Yarrowia lipolytica: one gene and its partners. The protein of the gene in region 4 purifies or fractionates together with the protein of the main gene of each other region. This does not show direct contact. Links are inferred from orthologs where the notes say so. Each region holds a gene or a part of one and is shown on either strand. Other genes may lie near its edges. The genes, in order: YALI1_A21797g, YALI1_F34862g, YALI1_A13100g and YALI1_D06276g.

Region 1 (5,488 bases), on a different chromosome or scaffold from region 4:
TGTCGCGCATTGTTGTTCGTCTTGTCGATATCACTCACTTGTCTCGTCGGTGGATTCTGAGCTTTCGAGCAGCGTTAAGACCTCTAGGCTTTCCGTTACCCATTTTTGATTATGTTCTGTCGAGTTGTAGGAGAGAATAGAAGAAGTTTTCCAAATTCATTATGCTCCCAGCGCCAGTCGGGAAATCCCTAACCTTGCTGTCGTGTGTTCCTAATTTGGCAGAGTCATCACGTGAAGTGTGACTGCTAACCCTAATGCAGCTTAGTTCCAACGGGAGAACCCTAACCCTACAAATGGGCAGAGATGAGGAGTATTCAAAGAGTCCGTACAACTGACAAAGACTGGAATTTTTACATTTTTTCAAATGTTAGAGTACATGTACAATTTCGAAGATGTCTTCCCAGTGAATTTTTCGAAGTTTGATATTTCAAATCCATGTCGACAGGTATTTCGTCAGCTCTCAATACGTAACCACAGCAACCCCACGAAGTTAATCGAGGTTCACAAGTGCTTGTCAGATGTCTGATAGGGTCATTTGAAACATGTCTTGTCAGTGTGGGACTGACCCAGATACAGCAGTAGCTAGAATATGTACTTATACATATCATGGGCGAGATACTGGAATATGGATTGTCATGAACGGGCTTTCAATAATATAAAAGGGTTTCAGTTAGCCATAGTGGTACTGGTACGTACATACTAGTCTCACTATCGCAGGGCCACCATGATCAAGAGAATATGCGAGATCAGATGCAACTGAGAGAGAGCGTGTACTTGTATGAGCACCTGTAAGTACTGTACACTGTAGATTGAGAAGGTATTGAGTTAGGTTTACCACTGATTGGAGGCCTGAATGAATAGCTACTGATGGTAGATCTTGTGCTCGTACTGTATCTGCACGTCTGCAGTTTCTCCGATCTTGGTGTGTCAGTTTCACATTACAACGTGTGTGGATAATACCATGTAGGAGGCAACTAGGAATTGATGGAAGGCGCACTCATCGTATATTCTTGCAAGTCGAAGGAAGCTGTCTAGATTCAATAGCTCGTGAAATGCCTCGGCTTGTGATGTTTGGCGCTCCTACAGTAATTACAAGTATGTAGGTACTTAGAGCTCTGTTACGGAAATTCCATATTGGGCAAGGCAGACACTGTGAAGTGGCAAGGTGACCCAATACTTGTATGATATGTGGCGATTATTTCTCCAGGACGACTGATTCATATACAATGCCAATCCATTATTGCCTTATTTTCCATGTTCTGGTGCTCACATTGCTCTACTTCAGGTCCACGGTTTGGTTCTCATAGCAGTACAGTACACCTACAATTTCGCACAAGTGCAGTATGGACTCTCTATCTCTATAGTGAGTCCAATGAACCGCCCCAACGGTGGTGAAGAAACACATGTTTTGAGAGACCGAAAGGACAAGAGAGGTAATGGGACCTCTCAAGAGGACCAAATGACAGATATTGTTCATTAGAATCAACTACTCATCTCTATTACCGTTATTGTAGCCGTTGTATCACTCACTATTAGGGTCATCTCAGATACGGTTACGTGTTTTGAGAATGTTCTGGGAGCGATGATACTTGTATTGTGGCGTGATACCGAGCAGGAGCAATAAATCGTGTTTTTATAGTGTTTGTTTAGTATTCAACATGTCGATATGACACCATTATTAAAAATCGTAGTTACACGTGCACACAGTTCGCACTTTTACCTGCAAGTACACTAGGTCCTCGTACATATCACATCACCTACAGTACAAATTTACTTACCTCACTGCCGTGTCTGTGAAGGTTCATTTATACCTTGCATAATTGGCAATTATTTCCAAACCCAACACACCATAGATGGACGACTACGACGAGTTTGGTAACTACATTGGCGAGGAGGTGGAAGAGGTTGTGGCCAACGGCGTGGAGGAGGTGCATATCGAGGAGGACCAACGGATCCCCGACAGCGACGATGAAATCGAGGACGACAGCAAGACGGAAATGGTGCTCAACCCCGACACGGCCCATCTGGCTCTGGAGCCCATGGTGCGAGATATGGAGGTGGAAGGCGGCAACCAGCAGATCACGCTCCACGAAGACAAGGTCTACTACCCCAGAATGGAGTCTGTGTACGGTCCTGGAGTGGAAATCGTTCATAACGACAGAGATGGGCAGAGCCTGGAAGAACCCATGGTAGAGCCTGAAAGAGAGGTCATCAAGGAGGAGGGATTGCCGGAGACCACATACCAGCGCGACTACCAGGTGGCAATGATGTCACAGACGGAGTACATTCGAAACGTGTCGATTGTGGGCAATCTTCATCATGGAAAGACTGCATTATGCGACATGCTGATTGAAGCGACACACAAGCTGACAGACGAGCATTCGGGCCATATCAACGGACACGTGTCCAGATACACAGATACTGCGGCCGTGGAGATCGAGCGAGGCGTCAGCACTAAGACCAACCCCCTGAGTATGCTGTTGGCCGACTCCAAGCACAAGTCGCATGCCATGACATTTCTCGACACTCCCGGTCACGTGAATTTCTACGACGAGGTTATTTGTGCTTTGTCCATCACCGAAGGAGCTCTGCTGGTCGTGGACGTGGTGGAGGGACCTTTGGCAGGTACTAAGGAGGCTATCCGCAACGCATTCAGACACAGTAACACTCTGACTCTCTGCATTAACAAGTTGGATCGGCTGATTCTGGATCTACGACTGCCACCGGCCGATGCCTACTACAAGATTGCCAACGTGATCGACGAAATCAACATATTTATTGCCTCCGAATTTGGCGAGGAGCGGTACTTTGATCCCCTCACCAACGTCATGTTTGCTTCGGCCAAGTTCCGATTTGTGTTCACTCTGGAGTCCATGGCACGCAAGGTGACCCCCAACTATACCGCGCTGACGAAGCGGCTGTGGGGAAACGTGTTCTACAACCCCGAAACCAGCGCATTTTCTACACAAGCATCTTCCACGGCCAAACGAGCCTTCGTGTACTTCGTACTGGAGCCTCTGTACAAGGTTTTTTCTACCTGTCTTGGAGAAGAGCCTGAGAAGGCTGTTAATATGCTCAGTTCTCTGAAGCTGCCCAAACATTCTCAGAAACTGGACGCAGAAGACCTTATCAGAACGGCATGCATCGCCTTCTTTGAGACCTACTCTCCATTGGTCGACATTCTAACACGATACATCCCGGCACCAAAGGTGGGCGAGGAGAAGGAAGAGGCCGAGAAACCTACAGTTGTCAAGGTGGCCAAATTAATTGCATCAGCCGACAGAGAATCGTTCTATGCGTTGTCTAGAATCGTTTCTGGCTCCGTGCGACTGGGCCAGAAGGTTAAGGTGTTGGGTGCCCATTATGTGCCCAACGAGGACGAAGAAGATTGCGCGGATGCAACTATCACAGACCTGTTTGTGTCCCAAACAAGATACAAGTATACTGTGGTCTCTGCGCCTGTGGGCAACATTGTTCTGATTGGAGGTATCGATAAAACTATCATCAAGAATGCCACAGTGACCACAGACAAGTCCATCTTCCCCTTTTCTCCTCTACAGTTTACTCCTCCAGTTTTCAAGATTTCAATTGAGCCCGTGAACCCTTCAGAGCTCCCCAAGATGCTTGATTCTCTGAGAAAGTGTCAAAAGTCCTATCCCCTGCTTCAAACTAAGGTGGAGGAGTCCGGAGAGCATGTCATATTGGGCTCAGGAGAGCTTTACGTGGACTGCGTTATGCATGATATGAGACTGGTGTTTGCTCGTGACCTTAATGTTAAGGTGTCTGACCCCACAACCCGGTTCTGCGAGACTTGTGTGGAGTCCAGTGCTATCAAAACATACGCAGAGACCCCCAACAAAAAGTCCAAAATCACAATCATCGCCGAGCCTCTGGAAGAAGACGTATCAAAGACCATATCTCTGGGCCAAATCACACCTACAGACAAGCAGGGCTTTGCAAAGCTCGGATACGATGCTCTAGCGTCTAGAAACGTCTGGGCATTTGGTCCTACAGAGACCAGTCCTAACCTGCTTCTTAACGACACGATTCCTGGTGAAGTCAACAAACAGCTTCTCAATTCTGTGAAGGACAGTGTTGTTCAGGGTTTCATGTGGGCTACTCGAGAAGGTCCTCTGTGCGAAGAGCCTCTTAGAGACGTCAAATTTAAGGTGATGGATCTTGATTTGGCTGACAAGGCCATTTTCCGAGGCGCTGGCCAGATCATTCCCACTACCAGACGTGCATGTTACTCCAGTTACTTGCTGGCTGGGCCTAGACTTATGGAGCCCATCTACTCTGTCCACGTGACCTGTCCTCATGCTGCTGTCAAGGTTGTTCTTGAGGTTCTAGAGAAGCGCCGAGGTCATCTCACTTCTGACACTCCTATTGGTGGCACTACTCTCTACGAGGTTATGGGCTACGTTCCTGTCATGGACTCGTTTGGTCTTGAAACCGACATCCGAGTGGCTACACAGGGTCAGGCTCTTGTTTCTCTCATCTTCAACGACTGGCAGGTTGTTCCTGGAGATCCTCTGGACAGAAGCATTAAGCTTCCTTCTCTTCAGGCCATGAGCGGCACTTCTCTTGCTCGAGACTTTGTGGTCAAGACTAGACGACATAAGGGCTTGTCGGACGATCCTACCGTCACCAAGTACCTCGATGACTCGTTGCTGAAGACTCTTACAGAGAGTGGCCTGTTGGGATAAGTATATAGATTGTATTATAGGTTACATAAATTAAATTAATCATTATATCATATACTATTGCGACCCACGCTAGTTATTGGAGCCAAGCTAATGGTCTGTCCACGGCTGAAGGCGTATTTTGGTTGTTCGTCGGCGAATTCAGGCTTTGAGCGTCGGACATGTCGTAGCAGCTCAGCCATTTCTGGCTTTGTGAGTCCTTCGAGATCTTGGCAGGAGGACACCTCTTCCACATGACGAGTGTAGAACGCCGCACATCTGTCCAGGAGAAAGCTGTTGTCGCAAGTGTAGGCAGCTTTCCACAGCTGACACATGAGCACGGGGTTCAATTTGATGAATGAAATTTTGTAGTTGACAAACTCGTGCAATTGTTGAACCTGATATACCTCGGCAAACATCATGAGTTTGAGCAGAGTATCGAAGTCGTCAATGTGGGGGTCAACACCGTAGATACAGTCCACCATGGCTTTGACCCACGTATGGGGATGCTGTGAGAGACTCAAGCTTCTGTTCTGTTGGTTTTCAATTGTCGAATCTCGGTCACATATGAGTTTGAAGTGAGGCCATCGAGCTTTCAAAATCAGAGAATGGACGGGCACTTCTCCTGATTCAGATGCAATGACAAAGTCGCAAGTGGAAGGGTCATCCAGAGCCTCTTGAATGATTTCACACTGCTCAAACAGAGCCGGATACTCAAACACGTCGTTTTCTTCTTCTTCTTCTTCTTCTTCTTCCTCTTTATTGATAGCTTCTGCGTCCATAATTCCGAAATCAAAAGTGCCTTC
Region 2 (3,320 bases), on a different chromosome or scaffold from region 4:
CGAGCATTGATACTTACTCGTACGTCTCATATTAACTAGAGGTTATGTCTATAGATCACCCGCATAGGCAGTTAAAGGTGTGTGTAATGGAGATATATAATTTCACAATACTCTACAAGTACCGGAACTATACTCGTGCATGTATCTCCTAATTCCAGTAGACTTCAGCTTTCTCATTTCAAACGTTTCTTCCGTTATTTATACATGTAGCCAGCCCATGATCGAATCTTGGAGGTGTACACTAGTTCCTGATTGTGCCATACTCTGTCTGAATACGAATATGGTCTACTGAGTGCGTGCTGTAGCCTGTATCTACTTGCACATTATATTATCCATTACCAAACCATCTAAGGTGTATATACATTAAATACGTATGGAGACCACCATGATCCCTTCACCACTGATCACACTTCGACGCAGTTGTTAAGCCGTCGCTTCTAATTTCTAGCATGAGAACAGTATCAAGTCTGAACGCATTCACACGACCAAGTTTATGCGGGGACCTTCATCGAATGATCGAATACGGCGTTCTCGTCAGTCACTTGCACTACCGCTCCGCACTGTGCGGTGACCAACCACTCGCACCTATCGTCTTCCAGTCTCACGCAGCTTTTGCTTGATTCGAGCATATTCCTTTCGAATCGTCACGTAGTTTAGATGCATTTTTCCGAGGAAATGGTCAGCCAGACGCCGGTCAGTGTCCAGACGCGACAAGTAAGCGCCACAAGGGGGACACACTTGGAGTTTTTGGTGACCCGAGAAACCCGCAACAGTCATCATTTTCGCCAATTCGCGCTCTCGTAGCGCTCGTTCCGCTCGTTTCGAGTCCAGCTGCTGCATTTCAGCCAAGGCTCGCGAGATCTCGCCCAGCTCTCCAAGCAGTTTGATTTCCTCCACACTCATAGCAATAGACCCATCTAGAGCCTCCAGTTTTTCTGTGAGTTCCCGAATCTGGTTGACTTCGTCGTGGGTCGCCTCCAGTTTCAGCTGTCCCTCTTCGATTCTTCGATCACACTCCACCACGTATTTTGCCAGTTCTCGCTCGTACTCCTTTTCCAGAGGTGTGAGATTTCGACCCTGCTCCACAAGCAGCTCGTATTCCATTCGGTGTTGCTCCAGATGCAGCTTGTTGCACGACGCCTTCTCAAACCGCATGCCCACAAACAGATCATGAGGACAGAGACCGACGGTGAAGGAGTGGCACACCTTGGGGTCGTATAGATCAATCTTTTGACGGGTGGGAATCGACTCGAGAGCCTCAGTTCCCATGAGCTGTTCCAGTAGCTTCCTTTGTTCCGCGGCCATTTCTATGCTGTGTGATGCTGTGTGATTTGTTGATTGTAAAAGAGGAATGTACTACATATGGTGATACTTGGTGGTGGATCTTTTGCAGATGCAGAAACCCAAAGTTAGATAGTTCAAACAGTCGAAGGATTGTACCATGCATTCTAGAGAGTAAGTGAAACGAAATGTATGGATACAAAGGGGGACCTTATCCTTGTAGAAATTTGCTGGAAACCTACTGAATAAAAAATTTGAGAGCAGATAAACTGCTCAAGCTCAGGATTTCTAACACCTCAGGCATCCATTTACATGTACTGTCTTCATTTTTTTTGCCACTGTCTGAAGACGTCTAATTAGTGGAAACTGTGTTTTGAGGGGTTGAGACGGGAAGAGCTTACAGTACAGTAATTAGTGAGCTTCATCCGATTAAGTACAAGTACAATATTTCCCTCAACTTCTGCATGGGCAAATATATTACTCAAAGCCCCGCCTGGAACGACTCGTACCGACTACAGTACCTCTCCTTGTCTATGTCATAACGTACACTCATACCATATGATGCAATACACGCAAGTAATCTCATGTGCACCTACCGTCGCCAGACAAACCCTAACCCTACACATGTCCAATGAATTTTGGATTCAATATTTTTTGAAGCCAGCAACTGTTATCTTCTTCTCCTCACAACCCAACACACTAAACTCCGACAAAACGACGTGCTACTGTACTCTCAGAAGCATCTTCATTTTCGCATTAACAACACAAACACAGGTAAAGTATTAACACAGATTCTTTCCCGCTTCTAAACATGAACCACAAGTGTGAGTATAACCGTGGCAACTGTCATGTCACAAAACACGTCACTAATACAGACACACCCGTGAACTCGCGCTTATCTCTGGCTCGCCCACCAGTGCAGCCTCCGCCACCTCCTCCTACGTCTGGGTCGGCGTCCGACTGGCCTGAAGGACTCAAACAGTTTGCCGCTGCGTGTTTTGCACGATGTCCTAGCGGCCCTGACAAGCCTATCATGGAGGCTCAGTTGCGTAAGGTGATCACCGAGGCGTATAACACCAATACTGCATATTCGATCGATTGGAGTAAAATGGTGCTCCCCGTTTTCCTGCCCACCAACAACGGCTACACGAATAGTAACAACAATGGTCACATGAACAACAACGGCTACAACCACAACCTCAACACCAACAATAAGAAACGACCTGCATTTGACACTAACAAGAAACAGTTCAACTCCACGATGCCCCCAAAGAAGACGAAGACCAACAGCAAGCATGGGGAGGGCTATGTGGAGAACATCGGAAGCATATCGCGGAAAGACCGACAGATGCGTTTCATGCGCGAGCAACAAGCGGTAGTCGGCAACGCTAACGCGTCCCCAGCCCCCGAAGTGACCACCGACCAGCCTCTTGTAGGACGAAGTACTGCCCTGGAGAAGAAGTACCTGCGGCTGACCTCCGCCCCTAATCCCGATACTGTTCGGCCCGTGGACGTGCTGGAACGCACCCTGGAGCTGCTGATGACCAAGTGGAAGCAGGACCAGAACTACGCATACATCTGTGACCAGTTTAAGTCGATGCGGCAAGACCTAACGGTGCAGCGTATTCGAACGACATTCACGGTCAAGGTATACGAAATTCACGCCCGTATCGCGTTGGAAAAGAGCGACCTGGGCGAGTACAACCAGTGTCAGGCGCAACTTAAGACGCTGTACGAAGAGGGCCTGCCCGGCAACCGGCTGGAGTTTCTTGCCTACCGGCTGCTGTACTTGCTGCACACACAGAACAAGCAAGAGGTTGGCGACATTTTGGTTGAGCTGCTGGACGACGAAGAGGCAGCAAACTACGAGCCTGTGCAGCACGCGCTGCAGGTGAAGACAGCCATGATGACTCGCAACTATGTAGAGCTGTTTCAGCTGTATCGAACGGCTCCCCTGATGAGTGGCTACGTGATGGACAGCTTTGTGGGGCGAGAACGTATTTTGGCTCTTTGTAAACTGACGCGGTCTTTTAGACCGA
Region 3 (5,008 bases), on a different chromosome or scaffold from region 4:
ATGGCAAGATGCATCTGTCTGCGTTCTTTTTTCAACTTCTTCTTTTCGGTCTGGTCTGTTGTTTTGCTCATGATTGTACCCAAGTGCAGTCGACGGTTTATGAGGTTGTCAATGGAAGCACGGAGCACGTCGGCACCCGGAGGGACTGCGGCAGAGGGTCGCACATGGGCTGCGGGAGCTGTGGGCGGAATTCTGCTTCTGCGTATGGCTTCTCGCAGAGCAATGGTTCGCTCGACGAGAGCTTCATTCATTGTACGAGTGTTGCCGCCTTCTAGGGCAGGGGGAATGGATGGCGGCGTTCCCTGGGACAAGGTGGGGGAAGATGGGTCGAGAGGAGGAGCAGGTGATGCAGAGGGTATGGAAGCAGGTGTACTGCTTCGAGACAAGGACGCTGCTCCACTGCTAGGGGGAGGTATGGCGGAGCTATAAGATGCAGCTGGGCCTGTACTTGAGCTTGCAGTTTGAGCTCCGATTGGTATTGGTGGTAAAGATGTACCCGAGGGCGGTTGTGTAGCAGCAACAGGAGCAGAAGGAGTCGCAGGTTGTTCTCCCGAAGCACTCCGGTCCGAGTCTGAGACAGCTACAGCCAAAGTGGCGCCGGTGATGGATGTCTGCGGTGCTGAGGGTTTATCAGTTGGTGGAGATTTATCGCATGTCTCCGTGGGAGCGTTCATGGGCGCCACAGGGGCCTCCTCTTGGGTCTCCATGTGTTCAGGCACAAACATGGTCTCGAAACTATCTAGAGAGTCGTACTCGCCCACCCACTCAAACTCTTCGATGTTGTCCACGTTCAGCAGGGCGTTGCATCCGTCCAGTAAGGACACATTGAGTCGTCGAAACTTGTCGAGGTTGCGTTGCACGAAAATAGCCAGGCCACGCTTGTCGCGTTTGATCCTCAGAGTACTGATTCGGTCCAGGGTTTCGGAGAACAGCGTCCTCACCTCGCGTCGTCGGCGCAGTTTGAAGGTCTTTTCGATGGTCGTAGCAATGTCGATTGGCTCGGAGATGCCCTTCAGCATGTCGCCTAGCTGGGGGTCTGTCCTGGTCAAGATGTACTCTTTGATCTTGCGCGATACAAGTATCAACTTGGAAGCTGAGGAAGCCGGTTGCAAAGACTGTTTTTGTTGTTTCTGGCCACCACTGTTGCTGGCTCCCATGAAGCTAGCCAGCCGAATCAGCGTCTCGTCGGTATCGTTGTCGCTGATGGGACACAAGACATGTCGGGCTGCCAGGGTGGACACCAGAGACACCGAGCACCGCTTCAGCCACAGCGCCTCATTTCCCAGAGTCGACAGATATGCGTTGAGATCATCGTTGAACTCCAGGTATTCCGCATAAGTGGATTTGAAGCCCAGCATGGGATAGTGTGTTGTAGCAGTTCAAGATCGATCTCGTGTTTAGGTAGAAAACATGTATCACGTAAACAGACTATCAATTATATAAATGGTGTGAATATTTGGGGGGGGGGGGGGGGGGGGGGTAGTGAGTGGGTAAAGCCCTTCCATTCAACAAGTGTATATCCAAGTAACACTTTTTTGTGTACATACTGGTCATGGTGCATCATCTGTAGTTTTTCATTTTGTATTTTTTTTTAGTTTTTTTTTCAATTTTTTTTTCAATTTTTTTTTTCACAATTTTTTTCTTCATATTTTCTTCATAATTTTAATCATAATTTTAATTTGCCACTAAAACAACATCCGGAATCGAACACACAACTCTTTCTTCCCTGAAGCTATATGGAAAATCTCCAACCCTAACCCGCGCTCTAATTATTTGTCTACATAGTAGTAGTGGAAGTACAGTCCTGTACCAATCTACCAACCACACAACCATCATGTCGTACAACAAGCGAGGACGAGATGACGATGACGGGTATGACGGCGGGCGACGGCAGCGACACACGCAGACCACGCACCAGATCTTCGACCGGCTGTACTTTGACATTGTCGAGATAGGCGACCCTTCTCGAATGTCTCTGACAAATCGAGTTGCTCAGGCGGGATTCGGATTTGCGCAGGATCTGGACAACCTGGCGATCCGAAACGGAGTTCTCGAGACATTCATTGCCACGATCATGGAGCAGCCCCACAAAACACCGCTGGTTGCAGCCATTGTTCTCGTGGCCAACTCCTCCAACTCGCTGGCAGGTCAGCTGGCAGTGGAGCATCTGCACAGCAAGATTGAAGGATGGCTCAAGCAGGGCAACTATAACCACGTCAAGATAGCCGTGCGACTTTTGGCCTGTCTCGAAGGAGCCATTGAGGAGGGACGAGGAGTGCTGGTTTTCCTGGATCGACTGTTGGATCGAGCAATTGAGCGGGACCAGGCCAAGGGTAGCGAGTCGCGTGATCCCCTGGTGGAGGAGCTGTACGCCACCATATTTCTGACTCTTCCCTACATCGGATCCACTTTGGTGTCTCTGGGCAAGTCTGTGGAGGCCTGTGATCAGCTGCTGGAGAAGGCCAACGGTCATTTCGGTATCGAAAAGTTCCTGTCGAACCCCATCGTCGAGCCCTACACCGGCGACGACAAGCCCTACGAGTGCGATCTGTTCCTGGCCAACCTCTACGAGGGAGTCAACTCCGTGGCCAAGGACGGATGGGCCGTCAAGTCGTTCATCAACGTGTTAGAACTGATTGAGCCTGTGGTGGAGAACAAGGAGGTGACCCAGAAACACGTTTTCCCGGCAGTTTCTATTCCCGAGACTCTGGCCGAGTCCACTTCCACAGACTACATTTACCCCAGAATCTTCTTCCGAGCCTACATGCCCATTGACGTGGAAGGCGAGGCCATGAACACGGTTCCAGACCCCAAGTCATACGACGCTGTGCTGTGGAGAGACATGCTGTCAGACACCATCCAGAATCTCGACTTTAACCGAAAAGAGTGCGCCAAGCAGCTGTTCACCCTTGATCTTTTCCTCAACAAGGGCACCTTCACGGGACCCGGAATCTCGGTAGACAAGCTAAGTGGCAAGTTTCTGGATGCCAAGGCCGACGACAGACCCATCTCCACTCTCAAGGTGGAAGACGTGGCGTCTGAAGCCATCCTGGCAGAGCTTTTTCGGCTCGCCACGCCTCCTCTACAGCCTGCGTACTTTCATTCTCTGTTCATCGAGGCATGTATCATGGCTCCTCAGGCCATTGCCCCTGTTTTCGGCCGAGCGGTGCGGTTCCTGTTTGCCAATCTGCGGTCGTTTGACACAGAGCTAATCCACCGGTTCCTGGACTGGTTTTCGCACCATCTGTCCAACTTTGGATTCACCTGGAAGTGGCAGGAGTGGGTCGAGTACGTCGATCTGGAACCTCTGGACCCTCGGCTCGTCTTTATCAAGCAGCTCATCAAGAAGGAGCTCCGTCTGTCATTCGAGTCGCGAATCAAGGAGACTCTCCCCGACGAACTTGTGGTGTTTGTGCCTACTGACGGCGAGTTGATGCCAACCTACGAGTACATTGAGTCTGAGAACCAGTACAGAGAAGTCGCCGACCAGTTGTTGGACGTGTTCAAGGACAAGTACGACCAGGGTGTCTCCGAGACATACCTCGAGGTGATTGATTCCATCAAGGAGGCTGTCCCCGACAACAGAGAGCTCCTACTGGACATTGTCATCGGAGCCGCCATCTTTGTTGGCTCTCGATCACTGTCTCTGTCCCAGGACTGGATTAACCGTCTTGCCCAGCAGCTCCAGCACGTGATTGAGTCTGCTGAAGATGAGTCTGCTGCCGTGACAACCGTCATGCAGTTTTACCGAAACCAGCCCCATGTAGGAACCGTTGTTCTGCACTTTTTGCTGCTTGAAAACGTCATTTCGCCTGCTGCTATTATCACCTGGCTGTTTGAGTCGCCGGGCGATGTTGTTTTCACCGAGAACCACGGCTGGGAGTGTCTGATTCGAACTCTAGATGAGGTGGCCCAGGAGGGAGAGGTGCAGGATCACGTTGGACCCTTCAAGAGTGTTTTCGAGTACCTGGCCGTCAAGGACTCCGACTCGGAGCAGCTCGGATGGTGGAAGCGACAGGTCACCAAGTCGCTCATTCGAAAGTACGTTGATTACATTAAGAACGAGCAGATTCTCGAAGTGGTTCCCACCAATGTCAAGGACATTGTCGGCCAGTATCTTGCTGTTCGACCCATTGTGCCCCGGAAGAAGGTGATCATCGCCGAGCCCAAGGTTGAAGAGGATCAGCCCATGGCTGACGCTGCTGCCAAGGGTGTCACCGAGGCCACCTCGGCTGTCGAATCAAAGGAGACCAAGGAGGCTGAAACCGCTGCCGAGCCCAAGGAGGCTGAGGTCGCAGAGTCCAAGGAGGCTGAATCCGCTGCCGAGCCCAAGGATGCTGAACCCGCTGCCGAGTCCAACGACAAGGACGAGACAATGCAGGAATAAAACATAGGTATGTAATTGTAAATGAAATGGATTGGATGGGTTTCTGTGAGTTTTTGTAGTGCTCGTAGGACATCGTATTCAGAACCAAAAAGTACATACCCTGCTCAATGACACAACTGAAAAGTACTCGACCGGAGCAAAAAAGTCACATGAAGAACACGTGGATGGACGACACCGGAATCGAACCGGGGACCTCGCGCATGCTAAGCGCATGTGATAACCAACTACACCAGACGCCCCTTGTGTTTTCTGTGAGCCCACCTAATGTGTGTCAAAACAAATGTTGCCAAGAAACTCCCCAAAAGTGACCCAAAAACGACCATAATTTGCACCGTTAGATACTGGTGGATTTAAAAACATCCTAATAATTGCTATTTTGTCATTATGTTCATTTCTGGGGCGTGATGGGAGAAAACTGCCATTTTAGACCAAGGTGGAGTGCATAATACATGCATAATCGACGCACATAAAACGGGTTTTTGATAAACTCTAAATTTGGCGTCTTAGTTCCACATCTCCACATGTCACACAACGGGGATGATCAGACGGCGAAGATACGTATGTTTTCTGCTCAAAAAACTTCAGCGGTAAAAAATACTGTTCCATGATGTTCCACGACAT
Region 4 (4,141 bases):
GACCTTCATTGGTATCTGATAATGAACATACATTATGAAGACATGATGCAATGAGATTCTGTATCAGACGTAACGTATCAGATACTTGCATTTATATGAAACTGCACATACCAATGTATACTCAGGAACCCCTTGATTGATATATTATTTTACCGCACACTACGTTCTTGTGTACTGGGGATATACACAAGCATTGTATTCTTCACACTCATGCATTCCTGCATCTTGACCTCATGCATTCAAACCAGTATCTACGAGAACCACGATACAAGTCCAGAAGTAGGATTGCTAGTAACACAAGCTTTCCTCTCTCTTATAATACGACAAATTGTGTACAAGTAGCTGATCGGTCTTCATTGCCGAAATATCCCTCACTTCCATTCACTCAGACACTCAGAGTTCACCAAATATTATCGCTTAGGAGGGTTAAATTGACCACTGGTATACACAATGGAATGGAATTACTTTTGATCCGACAAGACCAACGACAGACGAAGTCAAGATACAAAAGCAATGAACAAGGAAGTGCCTGTAATTGTTTTGAAAGTGATATTATACCGTTCAAAACACCTATACAGATAATCCTACGTTGTACGCAGACTCTTCATATCAGAATACAACTACCTGTAGTCTAAGTACGACACTACATACAGTATATCTCCAGTCGTTCTTGCTACTTGTCCGCTCCATACTGCGATTTTCATTTCTTATTTACCTCCGCCAGTTATACCGGCTCATGCAATTACTGGGCGTAAACGCCATGGTAGCCCGAAGACTCAGACTCGACACGGTCTAAACGGCCGTCCCGAGCAGCAAGATAGAGCTCATTGAGCCGAGCCACAGGAATGGGCTCCGAGGGGTCCTCGCCGGGAGCCGCGGGGGCTCCAGTCACGGGAGGAAGTCCGGCGGCGTACGCGAGTGTGGTTGCGTTGGTGGACATGCCTTCCTGGTCGCCGATAGCAGGGGTCTGCAATGGAGCAGCGTGTCTATGGGCTAGTGCGGGCGACACAGGCTGGTAGGGTCCGTAGTTTTGGGCGGGGATGCCCATTTGCGGGTAGATGAGCGGCTGTGGGGCGGGTCTATACTGATGGTGATGGTGGACCTGTTGTTGGCTCTGAGACCGTCCCCAAGAGAGCCGCACTCGGCCGTTTCCAATTGGGTAGCCCTGCATCTGGGTAATTGCCATTTCTGCGGATTGTCGTTGCACGTACTGCACAAAACCACAGCCCTTTCCGGGTGGGATCTTGACGTAGGTGATGTCTCCAAAGCCCTGGAAGTATTGTCGCAGCTCGTCTTCGGACACGGACGAAGACAGGCCGCCCACAAACACAGTTGTATTGTTGGCGTCTGTGAACTGGTTGAGCGGATGTGCGGGCCCACCGTAGAAGGGCTGGTGGACCTGATGTGAGGGGGCTCCATTGGGATGATGAGGGAACGGGTGCTGCGAGTGCAGCTGCTGGTAGTGAGCCGGGGGCTGGAACTGCTGTGGCTGGAACTGCATATAAGGCTGGTGGTGATGTCGGTTTTTGGGGGTGGCGGTGGAGACTCGCAGAGGCCGGGAGCCCAGCATGTATCCTTGCATTTCCTGCAGCGCCTTTTGTTGGTCTTCCTCGCTGGAGAAGCGCACAAAGCCGTAGCCTCGCGACAGGCCCGTCACAGGGTCCGTCATGATCTTTGCGGCCCGGCACGACTCGTATCTGCTCTTGAAGGCTTGCAGCAGCTCTGGCTCGGTGGACTCGGGCGCGAGGTCGCCCACGAAGATGGAGAACTCCACGGGAGCGCCGTCTCCGTTGTCCTCTCCGAGCTTGAAGAGTCTGTCTGTGCCCGGGATGGGCTTGCCGTTGAATTTGAGGGCTGCGGCGGCGAGCTCAGGGCTAGCAAAGTCGATGAACCCATAGTTGATGCTATCTGTGAATTTATCACGTATCAGTTTCACGTTGATGTTGGTGTCGGGCCCCATGACCTGGGCCCACATGTTTTTGATGGCCGCTTCGTCCATCCACGGCTCCAGGTCGCCCATGTAGATGGTTGACATTGTCGGGATTGTGGGGTGATTGAGACAAGAGGTGTGTTGTGTTGTACTCTGTGAGAGAGAGACTGTGCTTGGGTGTGCCAGTGCCGTTTCTCTATTATCTCTGTGAAAGAATGCTGCTATGGCGAGGCGGGGAAAGGCGCTGCTTTTATTTTTTTGCTGAGAGTGACTGCCTGACGTAAGCGCTCTCTCTGGGGGGTGTCGACGGCGGTTTGCAGCGATGGTCTAGCTACTCTTGTGTCTGGAGATGCAAAGGGCTAAGGCGTAAGCTCAGAAAATGGAAAAATGCAAATGCACGAAGTTGAATTTCGTCACCAGAGTTTATTTGTGTTTGTGTGTGTGCTTGTGCTGGGTCGTGGAGCAGGCTTATGTGTAGACACCCTAATTTTCTTTTCGTCACGTTTAATATTACAGTATCCCGCCGCTCGGTTGAATATAAAACCCCCGAGAGCACGAGTATTAAGGTAGACCGCTGCGATAGTGTAGTGCCTCAAGTAGTCTCCCCTGCCAAACAAACAAGCATCTGCCGGAGCAAGTCTATTTGCCGGTGTATTCGCTTTTAGAAGCCTTCACCGTGCCTTAGTGTGTCCCGTCCTGTCTTGGCCTGAGGGTCTACACTTCCACTACAAGTAGCAAGCAATCGGCTGATCCGGGAGCAGTGTGTGCGCATAAATGAAACAGGACTCTTCCAGCACTCTCAGCACTTTGGTCGCGCCAAAGGCCTCGTTAGCCGTCGACTGGCTGTACAGAGTGCAATGTGTTGAGCCGGCTACAGTGTGTACTGTATCGTACAACAGAGGTTTGTTTGAGAGCTCGCTACAAATGTACCCGAGACGGATGCATGTTATATGAAGCATGTGCATCAGTGCACAGCACCCATACCAACCAACCAGGAGCTCACGCGTGCAACAAAAGAATTGCCAGCTTGTTGCTCATCACCAAGTCCCTTTTTGCTGTTGCCCTTTTCATTTGGCTCTCTTAAATTTTTCATCTCGGCTACGATTCCGGTGGGGACACAGCAAAGCCACAAAAGAGGAAGGAATTGCACGCGATAGGGTTGGAGACTATGGATAGCAGCAGCTTATCAGGTGGTGGAGGTGAGACGGTGGCGTTGACAAGAGTTTCGAAACCACTGAACGGAGACCGCGCTCAAAAAGCCTTGCTAATCAACAACTTGTCCACCACGGTGACACGTCGTCTTCTTCGTGCCTGGCACCCAGACTGACTCACTCTCCTCCTCCAACTTGCTCAGCTATAAATAGTGAGCCAGCGATCGGAAGCTTGTTAGCCAGACCAATCCACCATAAGCTCGCTGTTAGGGGCCAGCGGGCGGAGGGGTGGGACAAGTGTGGCACGTGACCAAACCGTCGGAGATTGAGCCCCTTTAAAATTCGCGCACTCCACACCTCTCCCCCCATCCTTGTTGTGCCCATCTTGCCACATCCTCTCATTCCAACCAACCCCTGCCCTGATGGGAATGCAGGGACTGTCGGGGACGAGATGAGGTCGAGTGACGTGGCCGCTGGGGGGCTGTGCTTATGTAAGCAGCTGGAAGCGGAGCCGACCGGTCTTCTGGGAAAGTCTAGAGTCTCCACAGCCGCATCATATCGCCGCAACTCCCGTCAAGTTGCTATAGTCGCACTCACATCCACTTTCTCTTCGTTGCGATCACACAACAGCAAACTCAAACGACAAAAAGCTTACTTGACGCTCAGGCACAACTGAGCTTGTTGGAGACATGAGCTTGGCTTGTTTGGAGGGGGTGAGTAAGAGGGGCAAGATTAGTCAGCCGGGCAGTGGCGGTGGATTGTGAAGAACGTATAGAGGCACCATCCATCGCGTTCTTGAGACGGCCGGCAACATTGTCAGGACGAAACTGCGTGTGTCTTCATCAGCCCACTTTCTCCACCAGCCCACTTTCTACACATCGCCCACGTCTCAACTGTTACACACAGCCTAACCTATTTTAGCTGTGGGTGTAAATTATACACAGTCTGGGTGTCAAGAAAATGTTCGGATCACGAGAAGTGGAAGGGTGACAAAAGAGGGTCTTGGAGGTAGCCTTGGAATAACACCTTCGAATCGTGAGATTAGAACTACAGTAACAAG

Evidence for each region.
Region 1: the proteins of YALI1_D06276g (region 4) and YALI1_A21797g purify together in Saccharomyces cerevisiae (affinity purification with mass spectrometry, with the first as the bait; 3 studies listed by BioGRID). This does not show direct contact. The link is inferred for Yarrowia lipolytica from reciprocal best matches to the Saccharomyces cerevisiae genes NAM8 and SNU114.
Region 2: the proteins of YALI1_D06276g (region 4) and YALI1_F34862g purify together in Saccharomyces cerevisiae (affinity purification with mass spectrometry; 5 studies listed by BioGRID). This does not show direct contact. The link is inferred for Yarrowia lipolytica from reciprocal best matches to the Saccharomyces cerevisiae genes NAM8 and LUC7.
Region 3: the proteins of YALI1_D06276g (region 4) and YALI1_A13100g purify together in Saccharomyces cerevisiae (affinity purification with mass spectrometry; 5 studies listed by BioGRID). This does not show direct contact. The link is inferred for Yarrowia lipolytica from reciprocal best matches to the Saccharomyces cerevisiae genes NAM8 and STO1.

What each region holds. Positions count from the first base shown.
Region 1 is NC_090770.1:2,177,805-2,183,292, forward strand, and holds YALI1_A21797g (uncharacterized protein), read left to right. Parts: upstream 1-1,853; coding exon 1,854-4,706; downstream 4,707-5,488. Other genes in the region: YALI1_A21775g (40S ribosomal protein uS12), read right to left, coding at 39-103; YALI1_A21835g (uncharacterized protein), read right to left, coding at 4,754-5,488. UniProt on the Saccharomyces cerevisiae protein: Component of the U5 snRNP complex required for pre-mRNA splicing. Binds GTP.
Region 2 is NC_090775.1:3,484,913-3,488,232, forward strand, and holds YALI1_F34862g (uncharacterized protein), read right to left. Parts: upstream 1,306-3,320; coding exon 586-1,305; downstream 1-585. Other genes in the region: YALI1_F34870g (uncharacterized protein), read left to right, coding at 2,093-3,320. UniProt on the Saccharomyces cerevisiae protein: Component of the U1 snRNP particle, which recognizes and binds the 5'-splice site of pre-mRNA. Together with other non-snRNP factors, U1 snRNP forms the spliceosomal commitment complex, that targets pre-mRNA to the splicing pathway.
Region 3 is NC_090770.1:1,308,169-1,313,176, forward strand, and holds YALI1_A13100g (uncharacterized protein), read left to right. Parts: upstream 1-1,834; coding exon 1,835-4,387; downstream 4,388-5,008. Other genes in the region: YALI1_A13095g (uncharacterized protein), read right to left, coding at 1-1,358; YALI1_A13131g (uncharacterized protein), read left to right, coding at 4,992-5,008. UniProt on the Saccharomyces cerevisiae protein: Component of the CBC complex, which binds co-transcriptionally to the 5'-cap of pre-mRNAs and is involved in maturation, export and degradation of nuclear mRNAs.
Region 4 is NC_090773.1:625,548-629,688, reverse strand, and holds YALI1_D06276g (uncharacterized protein), read right to left. Parts: upstream 2,036-4,141; coding exon 743-2,035; downstream 1-742. UniProt on the Saccharomyces cerevisiae protein: Component of the U1 small nuclear ribonucleoprotein complex (U1 snRNP) involved in the initiation of meiotic recombination. Involved in the formation of DSBs at recombination hot-spots through meiosis-specific splicing of REC107 pre-mRNA.